2 linked regions of the Macaca mulatta genome follow. The protein of the gene in region 1 purifies or fractionates together with the protein of each later gene. This does not show direct contact. Links are inferred from orthologs where the notes say so. Each region holds a gene or a part of one and is shown on either strand. Other genes may lie near its edges.

Region 1 (3,746 bases):
TTTCGGCTCACAGCAACCTCCGCCTCCGCGGTTCAAGGGATTCTCTTGCCTCAGCCTTCCGAGTAGCTGGGATTACAGGCACACGATACCATGCGCAGCTAATTTTTTTATATTTTTAGTAGAGACGGGGTTTCACCATGTTGCCCAGGCTAGTATCGAACTCCTGACCTCAGGCGATCCGCCCGCCTCAGCCTCCCAAAGTGCTGAGATTATAGGCAAGAGCCACCGGCCAGGTCAGTGGTCTACTTCTGTAATTCACATTTAAAGTTTACATTTATTATAAAGCACATGAACAAGCTCTCACTGTATCAATTACACATATGAAGCAATTTCCCTCAAATATTGTACAAATGGATCATGAGTTCCAAAACTATGTTAATCCTCAGACTTTAAATGTGACATGCCATAACCCCTATCAGCGTACAGACATGGATCAAGGCCACGAGCTTAAAATATATTACTATGAATGAGTTCATCATACCCAAGCACATTTCAAGAGTAAATAAATGGGTGTCCCAATGCTCTGAGGCATTAATAAAAGGCGCTAAAACAGCAACAGAAATAAAATCCTTCATGACATTCAAATAACATCCTCCTCAAAAGAGCAAAATGTGTCATTACTGTCCTACTATCTCGTAAACCCCCAACAGCCCAATAAAAACAATGTTATGAAATTTTAGTATAAAGAGCCTGCCTACCTTTAGAGCCAAAAGTCAAGAGGATTCTAAATTTTTTTAGAATTACTTCATTTAACTCAAAATAATAACAAGGAGACAAAATCCAGCTTTATTTCTCCCATAGTTCAGATGACTTTCCCAAGAGCCTTGGCACAAGGCGAGATCAAAATTCCTTATGGTTTCCCCTGGTTTATGTTTTGTACACTGAGTCATCCATGTTTGATCAAAACAGGGGTACTGCTGGATACTGCACAAGTGATGTTAACTAAAACACACAGGTAAAGAAATCACTCTTTACAGAATAGGTCCCAGTTAAAGATTTCTCTCAGGCCAAGCGCGGTGGCTCACGCCTAAATCCAGCACTTTGGGAGGCCGAGAGACGGGCGGATCACCTGAGGTCGGGAGTTCGAGACCAGCCTGACCAACATGGAGAAACCCCCATCTCTACTAACAATACAAAATTAGCCGGGCGTGGTGGCGCATTCCTGTAGTCCCAACTACTCAGAAGGCTGAGGCAGGAAAATCGCTTGAACCTAGGAGGTGGAGGTTGCAGTGAGCCGAGATAGCGCCACTGCACTCCAGCTTGGGCAACAAGCGCGAAACTCCGTCTCAAAAAAAAAAAAACTCGAATTGTGTTCCTAAAACGGTATTTTTGCATATTAGATTTATTAACATCATCATAAACACGGTGAAACCAAAATACTGGTAAAATGGGGCGGCGCTTAAATCGACAGTCTACGGAGTTATAGAAAAGGGTAATCAACTGACGGAAATACACAATTCTCAGCAAGAGAGTTTCAAAACACCAGTGTACCTCAAAGATAATGGGCCGGTTCAAACTTCCAGGCTTAACCTAAACTGCCTGTTCCCTGCGCTTAATGCCAGCATTCACTACAGTTCTTTTGTCTGTGAAATGACCCGCACCAAACCACAGCAGAGAAGAAACAGATCCTTGCACTGAACACTCGTTACTTAGAACAGAAGGGGTAGACGAATCTTTCCACTAGCTCCAGCTCCTCCTCCCCACCCGCCTCGTCGTCCCCCACCTTTATTTTCCTAGAAATGGCAACTGGAGGCCACCGCAGGAGGTGGAAAGCAAGTGGCCGAGGGACTGAAACACAAGTTTGGAGACCAGAACCAACTTGTGGCGATGGACCCAAGTGTTTACGGCCTATTGCGGAATGGGACCGAAACCCCACTAGCTAACCCGTCTCCGGCAGGAAAAGAAGTTGTGGGGAAATCTGGCGGAAGAGCGGCGGCGGGACCCGCACGGCGTCCAGCCGCGGCCGGCCGGCGGTCGGTAAACAAGCTGGGCGGACCCGCCCTCCCACAGCCCCTGGGCCGTCCCCGCACCCGGAGCGCCTAAGATGGAAGGGCCGACAGCGGCGGCCCGGGCCCCTGCCCTCCCCGCGCCTGCGACGCGGCCGCCCCCGGGGTGCCGGGCGGGCGGGCAGCCCGGGAGGCCCAGCAACCTGGGCGCCGCCTGGAAGCGAGGGACCCGGCAGGCCGCGGTGGGGCGCCCCCCAGGGCCCGGTTACCTGGCGGCGGCGGCTCCCCCTCCAGCTCCTGCTCCTCCTCCCCGTCCGACGGGCGCTTGGCGGCGGCGGCGGCGGCGGCGGCGGCGGCGACTCCCCGCGCAGCCCGCGGCGACGAGTCGAGCCCGTCCCCTCTCCGCCTCCCTCCGCGCCGCCGCCCGCCCCGCTGCTGCCGCCTCCGCCTTCTCCCCTCAGTCAGGACATGGTCTCCGCGGGTCCGCGCGCGGCTCCTGGCTGCCGGAGGCCGGGGTAGAGGGGCGGAGAGGAGGCGCGGAGGCTGGGGAGCCCCGGGGGGCGGGGGCAGTGAGGTGTGGGAGGCGGCCGCGGGGCTGCGGACCCCTAATGGCGGCAGCCGAGGGACCCGGAGCCAAATAAACCCCGCGGCGAGCGGCACAACGTCAAGGCCGGACCCAGACGCTCGCCGCCCTGTCATTGGCCCCGAGGCCGCCGGCGGCGCAGCCAATGAGCGGCCGCCTCATTCCGGGCTCAGGGGGCGGGTCGAAAGAGGGTGACGTCAGCCGGAGTGCGGCCTCGATTGTGAGTCGGTGGCGCGCGTTGGCCCCGCGCTGGTTCCCTTCCGCGGACCGCTGTGGGCCTGAGGGTGCCGGACCGCCGTGGGGTGCGTGGCGCTCGGGGGCGCGGGCTGACGGCGGCCCGGAGGGCGTCCTCGTCAGTGTCTGGAGGCGCGCTTTGCCTCGTCTCTGCGACACATGCGCCGGAGTTTTAAGTTAACCCCCAGGTCTCACGTAGCCTAAGCGATCTACGTATAACCCAAATGCTGCTTTACTTTTTCTTAAGGACTTTGAAGCTCTTCATAAAACACCAGGGAAGACAAAGCTCTAGGTGCTTTGTGATGGTTTGATTTTTTAAATTTATGTTTTGCAGTGTCCGATTTTTACCCCTGCCTTTGCTGGGGCTATCCGTGTATATGGATGTATGTGTATATTTCTCGTTGCTCTGTGCATGGTACATGTGTGCGTACGTAGATAGACACGCCATGAAAAGTAATGGAGACCTTGCGTCTTGCTCTCCTCCACGACTTACTGGCGCTAGTCTTGGGAAAATCCAACCTTCTTATGGATACCTTTTCTGTAAATTAGAAATAAACCTTTCCTAATAAGCCTTATTTCTGTAAATAAGCCTTACCTATCTTCAGGCCGAGGATAAATTACAGCTATGGAAAAAATACTGCTTAGGAGAATCCCCTGGGACCAAGTTCTAAACAGATATGTGTATTTCTTTCTTTTTGTACTGTAAAAATAACCAAATAGCCAAAATAAGCCAGCCATTTGTTAAAACCCCATGAGTATGGGAAATTTTTCTAGCAAGAGATCTTTGTTTTTTCCCAGTGGGACTTTACCTTGTAGTTTTCATACTTAAAATTTTGTGAGGAGAAGATAGAATTTGAAAGATCAGCCGGGCGCGGTGGCTCAAGCCTGTAATCCCAGCACTTTGGGAGGCCGAGACGGGCGGATCGCGAGGTCAGGAGATCGAGACCATCCTGGCTAACACCGTGAAACCCCGTCTCTACTAA
Region 2 (3,746 bases), on another chromosome or scaffold:
CCAAAGTGCTGGGATTACAGGTGTGAGCCACGGAGCCTGGCCTCAGAAACTATTCTTGAGCAAAAATCAGTAAACAATCAGTCCCTAGTGAGCTCTTCTAAATTCACTTCATTCCTATCGGGTCAGATATTTAAAACAATAAAATCCTGAAATGATTAGCACTCATTATGTTCTTAAGTCTGGTGCAAATTTCATGACAGTAAAAATAGTATTTTCTAACCAGTAGATTTTATATATATATATATATATATATATATATATATATATATATATATATATTTTTTTTTTTTTTTTAACTGTTTTTTTTTTTTAAGAGACAGGGTCTCTTTCTGCTGCCCAGGCTGGAGAGTGCAGTGGCATGATCATAGCTCACTGTAACCTCAAACACCCGGGCTCAAGCAATCCTCCTGCCTCAGCCTCCCAAGTAGCTAGGATTACAGGGATGAGCCACCACATCCTGCCTCACAGATATTTCTTTATAAGAAATTCAAAATTTTAGTCACTTAAGACACTGGAATTTCATAAGACAGCAGATGGGGAAAATCAAGTTAAATGAAGACAACAAGTAGACGGTTTATACTAACAAGTTGTGCCACATCTAATCAGTGCATTGCCTTTCAGTCTACCCTAAGGTGACAGCTTCAAACTAAGTTAAACAAACACTCATTAAGTCATACTATATACCAGGAACTGTGAAAGAGACAAAGACGAAAAACAAAAAATACTACTATCTGCCCTCAAAGAATTTATAATTCAAGGAGAGAGATCAGACATATATCCCCTGCATAGTACGCTTTTCTTCATCTGGCATGACCAAACAGGTGTTGAAAAGGTTAAAGGAAAGATTTTCAAGACCCAAAAGTGTAACAAACAGATCTTGCTTACTGTGCTAAATAATAAAAGAACATTATTTGCTTTTTCCTATTAAAGCTCAGCAATCACCACAACTTTGGTTTGCTTAGTCTCTTACCTTAGTTTATTTTCTGTTCTCTGCTGATGTAATACAACTTATCTTTTTGGGATTTTCTGTTCTACTTTTAGCTTTTTCTGCTGTTATTGCAGGGAGCCCATGTTTTACCCTTCTATTGCAGCACACATTGTGTTTGCTAGAGACACCCTCCAGTTTCTTCTTTGTGCTTTCTTATTGGAGATTTGGAAACGCTCACTAAGAAGATCTGTGAGCACTCTGAAACCTTCAATTCTAACTATTCAAAAATAATTACCCTCAGGAAGTCTAATCAAGAAGGTAAAAGACAACAGTCATTACAATCACCCTCTGTGATTCCAACTCCTTGAACTTCATTGCCATCAGCTTTGGCTATAGTTGACAGCGGGGAGGTGGACTTGAGATTGAAAGCAAAAAAAAAACTATGCTAAAAATATGGTAAATTTTAATATATAAAAGTGCTAGCGATAGATGATTACTGGGGATTCAACGACATTAACTTGAGGTCAAAATCAACACTTTGCACCTGCTGAAATGAAGGCCACTTGACAAAACCTTTAGGAGCACACTAGAGGCACTTTTTGGTAAACATGAATAGCTAGAACACCTTGCCTTTATTTACTTTGATCTCTGAGATTAAAAAATTACTTTTCATCGTCTAAATTTTGATAGATGATCGTAAAACCAATCAAAATATACATGAATGTTTCCTGGGGGCGGGGGAGACACTATAAAAAAGGGGTTAGAGAGTAACCAAAGGACACAGGACTAGATTAATCATAAGCCTAGATGACTGACCCTGAATTTTCTTCAAACACTTCCTGCCTTTTGTTTCAAACTGCAGTATACCTTCAAGGTTAACTGCAGTCTCCCTGAGCAATGGACCAGCCCATCCTAGACTGGGATATACTCATTCCTAATCCACTGCTATTTATTTACTTATGTATACTGTTTCATTTGAAAACATGGTGTTATTCATTGACTGTCAAGCAACATACACTGCATTCCTGCCCACACAAAGCCAACTCTGCAGATATCCAACACACCCACCTCACTGTGAAATATAACATGGCTTTTCATCAAGTTCTCAGAGAAGAAATAGGGTGGAAAAGGAAAAATGAAACGCAATTCAAACCTAAGAAACCCTTAGAGGCTGGGTTCTCCCAGAAGGAACAGAAAGTAGAAGAAAGGTACAAAGGGCGAGGGAGAGGAGGTCCTAGTTCTCCCTCTTTCAGAGTCCAAAGAAGTCCCAAAACAGGAGAGCTCTCGACTCCTCACAAGAGGCCAGAGGATGTGAGGGGCGGCGGGAGGAAGACTGAGCATCAGAGAATGGGGGATGGGAAGAACTTAAGTGGGAGAAGCCGTTTCCTCGGTAAAGCTGGCTGTCTAGGTCGGTCTTTGATTTTTGCTTCGCCCCATCCCTCTTTTTTGGGAAACACTAATTTTATCTTACGGAGGAAAGCAGCTCCAGTCCCACCCTGGAGAGCAGAGACAGGTGTAGGGAGGGATGTCTGGCCTTCCGGGGGTGCAAAACGGGGTTGGGGGCGGCAGCCTAGAGAATCGGTACGGTACCTGTGAGTCCTCTCCTCCAAGGCTGAGGTGCGGGGTGGGAAGAGCCTTTGAATGAGGGGTATCAGAGGGAAGCCCCTTCTGAGGAGCTGGGAATCGACGAGGGACAAAAAGTAGCTGTGAGGACCCTCAAAGGATGAGGAGCCGCCTCCTCGGGGAATACCGGGAGGTGGAGGAGATGGCCCCGCCCCCTCAGGGGATGGGCCCAGAGGCCGTTAGGACAGCGGCGGGAAGCTACCGGTGCCCCTATACTTGCTTTGCTCTTGAGAACCCGGCCTCTCAGCCATCATCAAGCCCCAGGGAGTGTGGTTCCTACCTTTCCACGACGCACCGGGCTCCGCTCCCCTCCGCCTCTACTCCCCATCCACAGCGGCAGAGGCCCCGCCCCCTCAGCCGCCCGGCGGGGGCATTGGCATTCACCAGCGCCAATCGCCTCCTTGCTTCTCCAGCATTGTCCCCAATCCGCGCCGGCTGGAGGCGGAGCTTCTCCAATGTCATTCAGGCTCCTCCCGGGGCCCCAAGATCCCTTTTGTTTGGGAAGAGCAAGGCTGGGATTGAGCTCGCGTCACTTCCGGGAGGAAGCGCCGTCCTCGGTCCCGGGCTTCAGGATGGGCTCGTGCCCCTCCCGGCCCTTGGTCTGCAACTTTCCACCTCTGCGTGGTTTCTGGGCAGGACCGTGGCTAGTGCTTAGTGCTTTTCCCTGACTGTACGGGGAGTTTAGGAAAGGAGGGCTCTGGTGGCCTGATCGATTGGGATTTTTTCCAGAATGTTAATAAATGAAGTGGGCTTTGATGTCTGCATTAGAATGAATTAGTTGTTGAAAACCTGGCTTCCTTGCTCCCCCCTTTTTTTCTTTTTTCTGGACGCGACTGTGGGCGTGGTGCTGCAAGCAAGGGTGCAAAGATGAAACACCTGGAGATCACCCTTCTCTCAACCACAGTTTGTACAGAAGAGAATACTAATTTTGGGGGACATAAATCCAGCCGACCTGCTTTCCAGGCAGAAGTCGAATAATTGCAAATTTGTGTGGCAGGTTTTTCCACACTATGCTTGCCAGCTGAGGCGACTTTTTTCTGTCCTTGGCCTCATTATATTGCGGGGAATGGTGTTTGCCGTGAAGTTAAACAATGGAGAGTACAGAGGATGCAAGGAATGTCTGCCTTGTGAACACAGGAATGCAGATCTTGGTGGCAGCAAGTCTTAGGCAGGACCGAGTAACTCAGAAAGGGGA

What was found. The genes of interacting proteins can lie anywhere in the genome.
Region 2: the proteins of ZRANB1 (region 1) and CTTNBP2NL purify together in Homo sapiens (affinity purification with mass spectrometry; 4 studies listed by BioGRID and IntAct, with this or other methods). This does not show direct contact. The link is inferred for Macaca mulatta from reciprocal best matches to the Homo sapiens genes ZRANB1 and CTTNBP2NL.

What each region holds. Positions count from the first base shown.
Region 1 is NC_133414.1:136,976,884-136,980,629, reverse strand, and holds the start of ZRANB1 (ubiquitin thioesterase ZRANB1), read right to left. Parts: upstream 2,623-3,746; 5' UTR 2,216-2,622; intron 1-2,215. UniProt on the Homo sapiens protein: Ubiquitin thioesterase, which specifically hydrolyzes 'Lys-29'-linked and 'Lys-33'-linked diubiquitin. Also cleaves 'Lys-63'-linked chains, but with 40-fold less efficiency compared to 'Lys-29'-linked ones.
Region 2 is NC_133406.1:127,871,570-127,875,315, forward strand, and holds the start of CTTNBP2NL (CTTNBP2 N-terminal-like protein), read right to left. Parts: upstream 2,877-3,746; 5' UTR 2,832-2,876; exon of another isoform or gene 2,519-2,831; intron 1-2,518. UniProt on the Homo sapiens protein: Regulates lamellipodial actin dynamics in a CTTN-dependent manner. Associates with core striatin-interacting phosphatase and kinase (STRIPAK) complex to form CTTNBP2NL-STRIPAK complexes.